2 linked regions of the Anolis sagrei genome follow. The protein of the gene in region 1 interacts with the protein of each later gene in a pairwise test. Links are inferred from orthologs where the notes say so. Each region holds a gene or a part of one and is shown on either strand. Other genes may lie near its edges. The genes, in order: GPSM3 and GNAI3.

Region 1 (7,874 bases):
AGAAGACAGGAGCAGAATTCAAAATGATCTGAACATATTAGAGAGATGATTGGCCAAAACTAACAAAATGAAGTTCAACAGGGACAAATGCAAGATACCCCACTTGGGCAGGAAAAATGAAGTTCAAAGATACAGAATGGGGGACGCATGACTCAAGAGCAGTACATGTTAAAAAGATCTTGGAGTCCTCATGGACAAAAAGTTAAACATGAGCCAACAATGTCATGCGGCAGCAAGAAAAGCTAATGGGATTTTGGCCTGCATAAAGAGGAGTATAGTGTCTAGATCCAGGGAAGTCATGCTATCCCTCTATCCTGCCTTGATAAAACCACATCTGGAATACTGTGTCCAATTCTGGGCACCACAATTGAAGGGAGATGTTGACAAGCTGGAATGTGTCCAGAGGAGGGCGACTAAAACGATCAAGGGTCTGGAGAACAAGCCCTATGAAGAGCAGCTTAAAGAGATGGGCATGTTTAGCCTGGAGAAGGCTGAGAGGAGACATGATGGCCATGTATAAATATGTGAGGAGAAGTCATACGGGGGGGGGGGGGGGAGCAGGCTTGTTTTCTGCTGTCTTGGAGAATGGGAAGCAATGGAACAATGACTTCAAACTACAAGAAGGGAGATTCCACCTGAACATTAGGAAGAACTTCCTGACTGTGAGAGCTGTTCAGCAGTGGAACTCTCTGCCCCAGAGTGTGGTGGAGGCTCCTCCTTTGGAGGCTTTTAAACAGAGGCTGGATGGCCATCTGTCGGGGGTGCTTTGAATGCAATTTTTCTGCTTCTTGGCAGAATGGGGTTGGGCTGGATGGCCCATGAGGTCTCTTCCAACTCTTTGATTCTATGATTTTAATCTAAAATTACAAAATCAAAGTATGCTTTTTGGATTGTTTAAAATATGTTTTCAAGTTGTGGATTATGGAATCTATAGCTGCAGAATCCCTGGATACAGAGGGTGGATTTACTTATGCTTTTTATATATACCTATACACTTAACAGAAAGGCAGTGTGGTACCCAATAATATTAATAATTTTGTGCACTAAACAAAGTTAGTGCTCATTGAGCCATTAGAAAGCAAAGGCATCACTCTCTCAGCTACCCTTGTGGATTATTTCAGATTCTGGAGACTTAACTTCCATTAGGTATTTTGGCAGAAGATAGATTTCAATGTTCTGAGCTGCTATTCTGAAAATCAGGCCATATTGGGAAATAGCCATGATGAAATGGGCAAATCTTTGCGTAGCTGCTTTCTGCAGCTGTTTATCTCCAGAATCCTGCAAATCTTTTGGGAAGACAGGCAGATCAATGTCAGCATGCTGGAAGAAGCAAAATCACCAGCACTGAAATGATGCTCCTATGCCATCAACTCTGCTGGCGTGGCCACGTTGTCCAAATGCCCAAAGATCACCATCTCCCAAAGCAGAAGCAACTTGAGAAACTTTGTGTCAGGAGCGCCTTGAGAAACTGCAAGTCATTTCTGGTGTGAGAGAATTTGCCGTCAGCAAGGACGTTGCCCAGGAGAATCTTGGATGTTTGTTGTTTTACCATCCTTGTGGGAGGCTTCACTCATGTCCCCCACATGGGGAGCTGGAGCTGACAGAGGGAGCTCAACCCGCTCTTCCTGGATTCGAACACTGACCTGTCAGTCAGCAGTCCTGCCAGCACAAGGATTTTATTCATTGCACCACTGGAGGCTCCATTCCTAAAGCAGTTACTATACTCCCAACTGAAGAATGAAAAACATAATGTTGGTGGACAGGAAAAGAGATTTTAAAATGGGCTTAAAGCTAACCTTTAAAAACTGGCATAGACACAGCGAACTGGGAAGCCCTGGCCCTTGAGCACCCTAACTGGAGGTCCAACAAAGATTAAGCCAAGAGGATCTTTAAATTGGGACTATAATTATGTGTGCATGTTTTTAACCAACTTGGTTCCAGGAGCAGATATTGGCTTGCTGGCAGGACAAATGCTCCTCCTGCAGAAAGTCCTGAATTCATAGTCTTTAGCTTGCTCTGCTAAAACTACGGGGCCCCGGGTGATGGCACAACCCTAGGGTGCCTGTGCCAGGCAGTCAGCAGGTCCAGCTGTGCCATCTGACAGAGCAAAGTGGATGCCTGAGGCCAACACTCCTACAAGTCATGAGAGGGCAGCAAATTGCAACTGGTTACATTGATTTGCACTGTGTTGCAAATCACCTCCAAGGGAGAGATGTTTGTAGGAATTTACGCCTTGGGTGTCAAAATAATTTGATCAACATCAGGATCTTGGTACTTTGCATAGCAGCGATGAAGTGGTCCAGCGTCATTCATATTTTGCTGGAGGTCCTGCCAGTCATAGCAGAGATGTAGATTATCTGGCATTTATAAGAAAACAGTTTTCCAGTGTTTATCCTGTTGCTGATATGGCATGGGATTGATCGCATGCCTGTTTTAAGCATGTCTCCTCCACTGAATGAAGGTTTTTATTCTCAGTTTTAACCCTGTAGTACTTCGCTCTGAGCTGCAAGCAAAAGATGCTATTATTCTGTTGTTGAAGGCTTTCATGGGTCTTCAGAATCACTGGATTGCTGTGAGGTTTCTGGCTGTCTGGCTATGTTCCAGAAGCATTCTCTCCCAACGTTGCACCCACATCTATGTCAGGCATCCTCAGAGGTTATGAGGTCTGTTGGAAACTAGGAAAATGAGGTTTATTTATTTATTTATTTTATTTCAATTACTTTTACCCCACCCTTCTCACCCCAAGGGGGAACTCAGGGCGGCTTACAGACGAAGGCACAATTCGATGCCTGAATCAACTAACAAATAATACAGAAAAACAATTCAAACAGTTAACAAATTAAAAACATCAATACATAATAACATAGCAAAACAATCTCATGCTCAGTGTTCAGAGTCCGTATATCTATTCCATTGCATCTGTCCTTATTTATCGTCAGATTCTTTAGCTGCCAGAATGTCCAAAGGCTTGGTCCCAAATCCAGGTCTTCAGTTTTTTCCTGAACGTCAAAAGGGAAGTCGCTGATCTAATCTCCCCAGGGAGTGAGTTCCACAGGTGAGGGGCCACCACTGAGAAGGCCCTGCTCCTCGTCCCCGCCAACCTCACTTGTGATAGTGGCGGGGTTGAGAGCAGGGCCTCCCCAGATGATATACCTGTGGGATGTCTGGGGAGGGAGAAAGACCTCTTGTCTGCTTGATAAAATACAGCTATATTTATTGTTTTTGTTGATGCTATTATTATTATATTAATTATTATATTAATTATTATTATATTTATTATTATTATTTGAAACACAACAAGATGAGTCCACAGCAGACACTCTGCTGGCTGTTGTATTGGATGACACATCGGACACTTCCCAATTGTCTAGGACTGTGTGATGTATCGGCGAATAATGTGTGCAGATCCCAGTAAGGTGGCCTTCTGCAGCTGGCAGATGGTAATTTTGTCAGTGCCGATTGTGTTTAAGTGCAGGCCAAGGTCTTTAGGCATTGCACCCAGTGTGCCAATCACCACTGGGACCCCCTTTACTGGCTTGTTCCAGAGTCTTTGCAGTTCAATCTTTAAATCCTCATATCGTGTCAGCTTTTCCAGTTGTTTCTCTTCACTCCTGCTGCCACCTGGGATTGCAACATCGACAATCCATACTTTGTTTTTTAACACAATTGTGAGGTCAGGAGTTCTTCTTCTTCTTCTTCTTCTTCTTCTTCTTCTTATTATTATTATTATTATTATTATTATTATCCGCTGGATAATGGAGAAAGGCAGGGAGTTTCAGAACAACATCTATTTCTGTTTTATTGACTATTCTAAAAGTGTTGACTGTGTGGATCATAATAAATTGTGGCAAGTTGATGGTATGGGGATACCAAGTACCCTTGTCTGTCTCCTGAGGAATCTGTATAACAACTATGTAGCAACAGTAAAAACAGAATGGTTCAAGATTTGGAAAGGAGTATGGCAGGGCTGTCTACTCTCACCCACCCTACTTAACATATCATGCAACTTGCAGGGCTTGATGAATCCAAGGATGGAGTTAAAATTGCTGGAAGAAACATTAACAACCTTAGATATGCAGACGATACCATTTTGAAGGCTGAAAGAGTGGAGAAGATGAGGAGCCTTCTAACCAAGCTGAAAAAAGAAAGTGCAAAAGCTGGGTTGCAGTTAAACATTTAAAAAACCAAGATTATGACAACCAGGCTGATCCATGAGGTCATGAAGAGATGCTATTTTAAATTGTAAGTCGCTCAGACCACCTTGCTGGAGAGCGACTAATTAAGAAATAAAGTGAAGCGAAGTGAAGTGAAGGTGATCAGTTGAAACATTCACACCTAGCTCCAGCAGGGAAGAGCTCCTTGCCCCACCCCAGCCATTCCACAGATATATAAACCCATTGTCCTAATTCCAACAGACCTCACTACCTCTAAGGATGCTTGCCATAGATGCAAGCGAAACGTCAGGAGAAATGCCTCTAGAACATGGCTCTATAGCCCGAAAAAACCCACAAGAACCTAGTGATTCCAGCCATGAAAGCCTTCGACAATACATTGAAGTGAAGTCACTTCATTCTGAGAAAGCTTCACACACCTGGCTCTTTCGCTTGTCTCATTGGTTTTGAGACCAATGGGAAGAGAGACAGAAAGAAAGTTGGCGTGAGAAACATACTATATAGCAAGAGCAGGAAGCGGTAGTAGCTTCCCGTGTAGAAATAAGAGGCGTAGCCAGCCAAACAGATCAAGCAAAACCAAGAAGGAAGGAGAAAAGTGACAGTAGGCTGAGTCTCCTGAAGACAAAGCAACAGTCACACAAAAGAGAAGGAAGATGGTCATTTGGCACAGGCGCCAGTGGTGGAAATAATACGAGAGGGGCACAAAAGGTGAGCACAATGGTAAAAATGGGATTTCCAAGACTGGAGTGATCAGTAGCCAAGAATGGGTGAGTCTATAGAATGAATGCAGTTTGATGCCCCTTTTACCACTTGATCAATGCTATAGAATCAAAGGGAGCTGTAGTTTTACAAGGTCTTTAGTCTTTTCTGTCAAAGAGTATTGGTTCCTCACCAAATTCCAAATTACATGATTCCATAGCGTTGAGCTAAGGCAGTGAAAGTGGCATCAAACTGCATTCATTCTATATTGAAGATACACTCAAGGTAGCTGGGTGTTGTGGAAGTATAATGAGTTATTTGTTTTTTTGGCTCAATGCTATGGTATCTTGGGAGCTGTCATTTGATGAGGCACCAGCACTCTGATGGAGAAGGATCAAGACCTTGTAAAACTTCAACTCCCATGATTTGATGTCATTCTATTTTTAACTACTGGAGCTTTATTTATTAGCTAAGACAGTAGTTCTCAACCTTCCTAATGCCATGACTCCTTAATACAGTTCTTCATGTTGTGATGACCCCCAAACATAAAATTATTTTCATTTCTACTTCACAACTGTAATTTTGCTACTGTTCTGAATCGTAATGTAAATATCTGATATGCAGGATGTATTTTCATTTACAGGATGAAATTAGGCACAAATACCCAATATGCCCAAATTTGAATACTGGTGGGGTTGCGAGGGGGGGGGGGATAGATTTCATAATTTGGGAGTTGTAGTTGCTGGGATTTATAGTTCACCTAATCAAAGAGCATTCTGAACTATGTGGCCAGCATGACTGCATGGGTCACTGTTACCTTCCCACCAAGGTGGTACCTATTGATCAACTCACATGTGCATGTTTTTGAACTGCTAGGTTGGCAGAAGCTGGGCCTAATAGCGGAAGCTCACCCTGCTCCCTAGATTTGAACTGCCAACTTTTCAGTCAGCAAGTTCAGCAGCTCAGTGGTTTAAACCTTTGTGCAATCAGGGGGCCCACCGCCTGGTATTGTATGCAAATTGTAATATGACACTATATAGTGAAATAAGCATGTGCAATGCCAACTAGTTGATGTAACCATTTTCATATTGAGCAAAAAAAAAACAAAACACCCAAGTATTTCACACATAACCAGTTAGGATCTTTGTATGCTGATGAAGGGAAAATCTGATGCTATAAATATCATGTTGAAACTTTTGCTCAGCATTTGGTCCTTTGAGAAATCTCTCTGAGTTTAGGCCTTCTTGCAAATTGCTGTCCGGAAGCTGCTGAGTGATTTCCAATATTTGGTGTGATCATGGACCTGATGCACCGAGCAAGGAATTTGCCAGCTCTAATAATAATAATAATAATAATAATAATAATAATAATAATAATCCCAGTGGTGATCAGCACACAAGGTGCAGTGCCTAAAGGCCTTGGCCTGAACTTAAACACAATCGACGCTGACAAAATTACCATTTGTCAGCTGCAAAAGGCCACCCTACTGGGATCCGAACACATTATTCACTGATTGGGAAATGTCCAACATGTGATCTAATACGACAACCAGCGCTGCGTACTAATCCTGCTGTGTTTCTAATAATATTAATATTAAGAATAATAGTAATAGTAATAGTAATAATGTTATTTGTTACCCATCTCCTCATGTCTCAATGCAGGACACAACACATAATGCATCCCCATAAAATCCATACAATAACATGCATGCATTAAAGCACATTTCTATAAAATGCACATATTAAAATGCAGGGTACAAATATTGCAATGCAATAATGATAAATTTAAAATTCATGATTTAAAACTGGGTTTAGTGGCCATATTCCAAACCCCCTAAAAACCCCAAAATCCTAAGCACATCTGTTCTGAAGCATTGTGGCAAGGGGATTCCTGTTTAGTTATCATCTATTGCTGACCCTTTTGGATTATACACCTTATTTCCTTAGACCTGAATTTTCCATATACCTTTAATGTATTTTTACAGTAAACTGATTGCTTATACTCAGGACTCTTGTGTGGTGCTGTGGTCATCGGTGGCTTCAGGCCTGGGGTGCAACACTCAAATACAAGTTGATACCACTGTGAGTTGTATTTTGTTGCATCACCAGCTATCTTGGGCAGAGATGACGAAAGGTCTTGTAAAACTATGGCTTCCAGGATTCAATAGCATTGACCCATGGCAATTAAAGTGGTGTCCAACTGTATTAATTCTAAAGCATATATGGTGTGTGGGTGGGAGCTTAATCATTTTGGCTTCACCACGGTTCCACTTGGATTTGGGGCTTTCATGCTTGTGATTCGGGATGATAAAGGGGGGAAATGGACATTAAGAGGAACATTCCTTCCATGAACAGTCGTGGGCAGAGGTAAAATGTGAAAGCCTTTTCTTCCATGACATTGCCCCGTGAAGGCAATTTGCATCCTTGTAACCAACTCATATCACACTTGGTTGGGTCCAACAGTGTGAAATATTCACCCACAACGGTTGCATTGCAATCCACAGGAGAGTTTTCTGTTGCTTCCTGCTGCCTGGGGAGGAAAAAATACCTTATGTGAGGCACTGCTTGCAACACCTTGAACTCTGTGACTTCCCAAGCGGTTGCAAAACATCTCTTTTCCCAAGTGCCTTTTATTTGCCATAGCAAAGAGATTCTGAGCATGTGCAGAGTCAGCATCAACTGCAACGTTTTTGGCAACGTTGAAATATTTCTAATGGTGATGATCACACAATTCATGTGGCTTCTAGCTGACTCTGACATGTGAGAAGTTTCTAGGAATGATTTATTCCAAGTAGGTTCAATAGCTCCTTCCTCTTAGGGCAGTGTTTCTCAACCTTACTAATGCCACGACCCCTTAATACAGTTCCTCACGTTGTGGTGACCCCCAACCATAATATTATTTTCATTGCTACTTCTTAACTGTAATTTTGCTCCTGTTATGAATCATCATGTAAATATCTGATATGCAGGATGTATTTTCATTCACTGGACCAAATTGGGCACA
Region 2 (7,724 bases), on another chromosome or scaffold:
GGCCAACTTCAATGATCCCTGAGGTCAGTGGCCCACCTAGAACCTGCTCTGGGCTTCTAATCTGACAATGATGAGATCAGATTTGGGAAGGGTGAGAAAAGGACAGGCTTGTATACTCATCTTGTGTAAAGCTAAGATTTCTTTGATCCAGTCAAAGGTCCCCTATTCTTTTTACCTTCTTGGAAGCAGACAAATTGGGCTTATGAGCGCAAAAGGTGGTGGGTGCAATCACACTCATCTTAGAAGGTACCAAGAAAAACATTCTTCCTTTCCACATGGGACAATGATCTGTTTCTGCCTTAACTTCTACTAGAGCCTCAGTGAGCAGATACACACACTTGCTTTCACTATTCATTCAGATACAAAAATACAACACTGGGAGTGAATCTTTAAAAGTTGCTTAGAAGATCACATTGCAAATTCCTTTGCAAACTACTTTATAAATAAGAAGTTGCTATTTCCACATAGGTAAAATATTTGCCTATACAGTAGTTACTTTTATCCTTGTGTGAGTATGTGTAACTTTAAGGTCCCTGTCAATTTATGGGGACCTCATGAATTCTTTCGGATTTCCATAGGCAAGGGATACTCAGAGGTGATTTTGCCACTTCCTTTACCCTCATTATGGTAAGTAGGAAATCCCAACTTGTAGTTCTGATATGCATTCTCTAGATGGCAACACAGACCCAAAAATCTTTATTATAGCTGCATTTCCTGACAAAACTGGTTTAATTTATGTTTGTTCTCTGTCTGTGGGTACCAGTTACAAAGGATTCTTTTGTTTTTTTTTTCTTTGGGAAATTATGAGCCTCCACACCTACTTCTAAAGTAGGAGGGAGTGACAGATTTATCACCTGCAACAGGTGTCTCACTTTCTCCCTCCCAGTGTCAGGAAACTAATTCTGTACTCATTTTGTTTGGGACAAAAGACACAGTAAATGTTTTATAAATGTCTGCTTGTAGATAATACTCTGATAATCAGCTCCAAATAGAGAGGCAATCTTGATAAAGCTTAGAAAAGTCCCTTTTTTGGAGATCATATCCCAGTACCTACTAGATATTAGGATTATGGGATATGTAGTCCAGAAAAAGTATCTTTCCAAAGCTCTGATCTGGAGTAGGTATGCAGTATCCAGAAGCATGTGTGAGGCAATGTTCAGGTCAGCCAAATTATTTTCGTGCTAGATTCACCCTACACTAAAGTGATAACAATTCCTTATATTCATTCATAAAGAGGAAGCCCATGCCTCCTTCCCTCCTCTTCCATCATTGTCATCATCGTCATTAAAATATTTTCCCTCCACACAGAAATTCAGGCAAGAGGGAATAAGCAATCCTACAGAAAATTTATATGCACCCATCCCTTCACATTTGCATTTTTGACTTGTGAATTTGATTATTCATGGATCTGATTAAAATTGTCTCTGTAGGAATCTTGAAGTCTTCAAGTGTGTCTTTATAGCCACCTTCATCCAATCATGAATATCTCCCTAGGAATCTCTAAGTACTGCATTGCATTTCTATGGTCAGCTTCCAGTAGACAGTAAAATAAAGAGTTATGCTGAAAAATATAGAAATTCCTAGAGAGGTTCTATCTCTGGTTAAAAAAAATAGTAAATTCGTGTTTTTTCTCTTTCAGGGGGGGTCCCACTTCTATGACAGGCATCCTCAGAGGTTGTGAGATCTGTTGGAAACTAGGCAAGTGAGGTTTATATATCTGTGGAATGTCCAGGGTGGGAGAAACATTCCCTAGAAAAGGTCCCTAGAGGGCGACAGAACAGCCTGTACACCAACTTCTCTATTTTGGAGACTGGGTTATGAAATGGGAGGAAGAGTCACAATTTCCTTTTTAAGGGTTGTTCCTGTAACACACAATCCACAGACACATCCTGTTTCATTTATTTTTCTAGTTACAAATTGGACTCTTGTCCAATTGAGTGAGAGCAGAATGTTTAAGCCCCATAGTTCCAGAGGATTGTTAAGAAGATCCCAAAGACCCAAATGTTGGAAGTATTTTGTATTAAATTGAGCTACAGCTGTCAAGAGAGAAAAATAGCCTGCTGTCTGAGTGAGCATAGCCTCCTAGTATGTTCCTACTTAAGCCACCTGTGACTGGGCAAAGATACAGACAGTTGTGCATTTTGTTTCAGTCTCATGTCCATCCTTTTCTGCTGTCATCTTCTATTTCTCTCTATTGGTTTTTACAGTGGCTTTTCTTATCCCTTGATAAACAGTTGCATTTAGAATTCTGACTCTGTTTCTCTCCATTTTGCATTTACATTTCATCTGCCCTTAAGCTACTTGAAGAGTTTCATTTGTGGAAACTTTCTTTTCTTTGCTTTCACTCTCTTTTTTTGCTACAAAAGTGTCTTTTTGTATTCCTCCCCAACAAAGTCCCTGGCTTCAGATCTGGCTCTTGGTGAATTAGGCTTAATAGCGCAAATCTATTTCTACATTATATTTAAATTCTACAGTGATGTTCTTGGGTTGTATTCTGGCATGACAATTGGCTTAGTGTCCTTCAACTCTACTTCAGTTTTTGAAATTCATGGTCTGTGCCACATTCTGCTCCTGGTCTTGGGGTTTTTTGTTTGTTTGTTTGCAGAAAGAATGTATCTTCTCCATTTTCTGCATCCAGATATGTACTTTATATATGTAATTTTCTGGTTCAAAACGTCCTATTCTTGTCCACTGTAATTTGTTCACCCCAAGTATTGCAAGGTTGATACATTCAATTCCCTGGTTAATGTTTCTCACAATCCACTTTCCTATAACATGTGCAGCCTCAGACTTCCTTTTTACCTTTCATCATGTCAACAGCTGACAAGTCCCTTTGACTTGAATCCAGTTTAGTTTGGCTCCAAATAAAAAAATTGTCAGACATGGGAGCCCATACCAGCACCATTGCTTCCACCAGCATAGCCTATTTGCCATGGCTCAATGTTAGGGAATCCTGGGAATTGCAGATTGGGAAGGCTGGGCAGAGAAGGCTCATGACCTTATACAACCTCCATGATTCCACGACTACAATTATGTAGTTATAGTTTCAGTTATTCTATAACTACATGATTCTGTAATAGGCCTGGGCAAATTCGGGCCCTTTCTCCAGGTGTTTTGGACTTCAACTCCCACAATTCCTAACAGCCTCATGCCCCTTCCTTTTTCCCTGAGGCTGTTAGGAATTGTGGAAGTTGAAGTCCAAAACACATGGAGAGATGGCCCAAGTTTGTCCATGCCTGGTATATACCCATGTGTACGTCAACCTCATGTATAAGTCAACCTCATGTATGGCTGTTGGGAATGGTGGGAGTTGAAGTCCAAAGGGGCCTAAGGTGAAAAAGGAAGGGGCCTGAGGCTGCTGAAGTCCAAAAGTGGCTGAGCGGGGAAAAGAAAGAGCCTGAGGCTGTTAGACATGGTGGGAATTGGAGTCCAAAGGGGCCTAAGGTGAAAAAGGAAGGGGCCTGAGGCTGCTGAAGTCCAAAAGTGGCTGAGAGGGGAAAAGGAAAGGGCCTGAGGCTGTTAAGAATGGTGGGAGTTGAAGTCCAAAGGGGCCTAAGGCGGAAAAGGAAAGGGCCTGAGGCTGCTGAAGTCCAAAAGTGGCTGACAGGGAAAAGGAAAGGGCCTGAGGCTGTTAGGAATGGTGGGAGTTGAAGTCCAAAGGGGCCTAAGGAGAAAAAGGAAGGGGCCTGAGGCTGCTGAAGTCCAAAAGTGGCTGAGCGGGGAAAAGAAAGAGCCTGAGGCTGTTAGACATGGTGGGAATTGGAGTCCAAAGGGGCCTAAGGTGAAAAAGGAAAGGGCCTGGGGCTGCTGAAGTCCACAAGTGGCTGAGGAGGGAAGGGAAAGGGCCTGAGGCTGTTAGGAATGATGGGAGTTGAAGTCCAAAGGGGACTGAGGCAGAAAAAGAAAGGGCCTGAGGCTGCTAGGAATGGTGGGACTTGAAGTCCAAAGGGGCCTGAGGCGGAAAAGGAAGAGGCCTGAGGCTGCTGAAGTCCAAAAGTGGCTGAGAGGGAAAAGGAAAGGGCCCGAGGCTGTTAGGAATGGTGGGAGTTGAAGTCCAAAGGGGCCTAAGGTGAAAAAGGAAGGGGCCTGAGGCTGCTTAAGTCCAAAAATGGCTGAGAGGGGAAAAAGAAAGGGCCTGAGGCTGTTAGGAATGGTGGGAGTTGGAGTCCAGAGGGGCCTGAGGCAGAAAAGGAAGGGGCCTGAGGCTGTTAGGAATGGTGGGAGTTGAAGTCCAAAACACCTGGAAGGAGGGTCCAAGTTTGACCATGCCTGTTCTATAGTTATAGTTATGGACTCCTGCGCCTGTAAGATCACAAGCCTTCAATGTTTCCCAAACGCTGGTTTCGCAGGTATTTTGGACTTCAGCTCCCTAGAACCCCTGACCATGGTCCAAAGCAGCTGAGGCGTTCTGGGAGCTGAAGTCCAAAACATATTGGAGAACTATTGTTTAACAAAACCCCGGGGTTGTTCTTCAACTACATTTCCCAAGATGCACTTCGCCTTTCGTCGGTCGGTCTGGAGTAGAGGAGCGGAAGCAGGCCAGTTTCCGGTGCCTCTCTCGTTCCGGCCCCTCCCTTCCCCGTTGCCTCCCAACTCGAGTCGCGGCGACCGTTGAGGAGAGAGAGAGCGAGAGAGAGGCAGAGAGGCGCCGCCTAAGGCCTCTCCCGTCCCTCACCGCCGCCGCCATGGGCTGCACGCTGAGCGCCGAGGACAAGGCGGCGGTCGAGCGGAGCCGCATGATCGACCGCAACCTCCGCGAAGACGGGGAAAAGGCGGCCAAGGAGGTGAAGCTGCTCCTGTTGGGTGAGGAGAAGGAGAAGGAGGAGAAGGGTGGGGCCGGGGCCTTAGGCGGGGGGAAGGCGGCGGTTAGGCCCAAGCCACGCTCTTCGCCCCGGTACAGTTCGCAAGGGCCTGAGACCCAGCCCTGCTCGAGCACAGTTTGAATTCGTCCAGCCTGGCCCCACTTCAGCCGCCATGTCTCCGTGCTACAGGATCAGGGGAGTCGTGGCGTTGCGAGGTCTTGGGCCTTCTCTGCCAAAGGCTTGTGGGGCCTCTCCGAACCACAACACCCAGGAGTCCATCCATAGTAGGCTTGGGAAAACTTGGGCCCTCCAGGTGTTTTGGACTTCAACTCCCATCATTCTTGACAGCCTCAGGCCCCTTCCTTTTCCCCCAAAGGGGCCTAAGGCGGAAAAGGAAAGGGCCTGAGGCTGCTGAAGTCCAAAAGTGGCTGACAGGGAAAAGGAAAGGGCCTGAGGCTGTCAGGAATGGTGGGAGTTGAAGTCCAAAACACCTGGAGGGCCCAACTTTGCCCATGCCTAATATAGAGGGACATAGCCTGATCCATAGCCGTGAACCGCATTAGTTGAAAGGGATGTCAGACCCCATTGATTCTACAGTGTAGATCAGGCATGGGCAAGCTTCGGACTTCAACTCCCATAATTCCCAACAGCCCTTAGATCACTTTTGTTTTGAATACACACCGCTTGAAGGTGATTTTATGTAAAATTTTAAATTTGGTGTGTATTTATATAAATAAAAATGTAATGTTTGTTTGTGGGATTAACATAACTCAAAAACCACAGGAAATTTTGACGCCAGATTTGGGCACAATACACTTATCAGACCAATGAGTGACAGTCACTCATTAAAACACATCAGAAGAGACTTAAAAAGCCAAAAAACTAAATACATTACAATGCATGCGCAAAACCACATATATACACAAATATGTACACACAGATATACGCATATACACACACAAAACACATATACACAGACTAGGCCACAGCAACATGTGGCAGGGGATGGCTAGTGTGATATATACAGACACATACATACATAGATACACCCTGCATTTTCCTGGGTGTTCATTTTTCTTTGTGGCTCTTCTTTGCCTTCATCCACCTTCTTCCTTAATAATAATACTTGTTGTGTGTTGAAGGCTTTCAAATACTTTATTTGTAGCCCAGAGCCCCCGGTGTCACAGTGGGTTAAACTGCTGAGCTGCTGAACTTGCTGACCAAAAGGTCCGTGTTTCGAATCTGGAGAGCAAGGTGAGCTCTCACTGTTCGCCCCAGCTTCTGCCAGCCTAGCAGTTCGAAATTATGCAAATGCGAGTAGATCAACAGGTACCACTTCAGCAGGAAGGCAACTGCGCTCCATGCTGTCATGCTCCATGCAGTCCATGCATCTATGGACAGAAATGACGATGAGGTCTACTGCCAAAGTCGGACATGACTAGACTTTATGTCAAGGGGAAACCTTTACCTTTATTTGTAGTCCGCCCTATCTCCCTTAGGGGACACAGGACGGCTTCCAACATAATAAAAGCAAACATTCAATGCCTGTATGAAACAAAGTAAAAATATAGACAACAAGTAAGACAATACATTACACAAGTTAAAACAAGTAATTTAAATAATGATAAGTGAAAGCGAATGCCTTCCTTCACTTTCCATTTATACACCTTCCCCTTCTTCTTTCCTTTCTCTTCCATTTTTCTACCCTCCCCTCATACCTTTCCCTCGCTTCCTTCCTTTTTTCTCCCCCTCCATTGCTTACTTTCGCTTCTTTTCTCCCCTCCCCCTACATATGTCTTCTAGTATGAGCTAATCAGCTTCACTCCTCCTTTCTATCCCAGTCACATGGACAGAGGGCCACTGCACCTAGCAACAGCCAATCCACTTTGTGTCTTTTCGTTCCCTCAGCTCTGTGCCAAAAAATGGGTGGGTTCTTTTTAATTCAAACTCATTATTTTAAGTTGGATAATGAACGGTACGTGTGCCAAGTTTTGTCCAGATGCATCAAGCCTTTGTGGTACAAATCAGTCAACTAACATGTATGCATATGTCCATTCTTTGACTTAGATCAATTGTTCCCAACCTTTTTTTGACCAGGGACCACTCCAACATTAGTACCAAAAGGGTTACGAATCAGTTTTTGGTCAACTTCAGATTTGGTTTGGTTATTTGGCGTGCTGATTCAAAAAACTGCATTGGAGAGACCACATCAACTCTAGTTTCTGATCCAGAACATATGCCATCCAGTAGTTGCTATCTGCTAGCCCAAAAAAAAAAACCATATTAAAAAAGCCTCAGCAATATAAGAGAGTTTTGCGAGACCCGTCGCTCTCGTTGCAACGATGTGGTAATAGTGAGACCTTAAACCTTATTTTAGTTCTTGCGGACCACAGGTTATATATATCATCTTGTTCAATCTGTGCAAAAGGAAAAACTTCCCAAATGTCAGAAATGTGGCACTTCTTATAATAAAGGAAAACCAGTTCCTACCCACACAGGGTTTGCTTGAAGCTATCATCTGCTTTCCCCATGGTTCCCTGAAAATCTTTGCTAAGAAATACAAGATTCAGACTTTTCCACATTTACATATAAAGTGTGATGGCAGGGGAGTAGATTGTTGAGATACTGAGTAGGTTAGACTTTGTTTGAAGCATGGTGGTTTGGATGTTGATGTTTGTAGGCTGTAGCAACATCATCCTGCCTGTGACCTTAACTACAGAGTTAATGATCCACTGTAACTTTTTTTAAGTCACTGTTTTCCTCCCAAATTATTTTTTGTTTAATAAATGCGTATTCCTTTTTTGGGGTGTGTAGTTTGAAGCTCTCACATTTATGTTTTAAAGATCCTGTAATGTCTCATCTCACTGTAGTACACACATGGTTTTAAAGGGAGAACCAATTGAAAGTTATTTAGAACATACT

Evidence for each region.
Region 2: the proteins of GPSM3 (region 1) and GNAI3 interact in binary tests that used the Homo sapiens proteins (3 or more experiments, as listed by UniProt). The two-hybrid records come from large-scale screens. The link is inferred for Anolis sagrei from reciprocal best matches to the Homo sapiens genes GPSM3 and GNAI3.

What each region holds. Positions count from the first base shown.
Region 1 is NC_090022.1:16,759,038-16,766,911, forward strand, and holds the start of GPSM3 (G-protein-signaling modulator 3), read left to right. Parts: upstream 1-4,773; 5' UTR 4,774-4,880; intron 4,881-7,874. UniProt on the Homo sapiens protein: Interacts with subunit of G(i) alpha proteins and regulates the activation of G(i) alpha proteins.
Region 2 is NC_090024.1:184,493,745-184,501,468, reverse strand, and holds the start of GNAI3 (guanine nucleotide-binding protein G(i) subunit alpha-3), read left to right. Parts: upstream 1-4,550; 5' UTR 4,551-4,685; coding exon 4,686-4,803; intron 4,804-7,724. UniProt on the Homo sapiens protein: Heterotrimeric guanine nucleotide-binding proteins (G proteins) function as transducers downstream of G protein-coupled receptors (GPCRs) in numerous signaling cascades.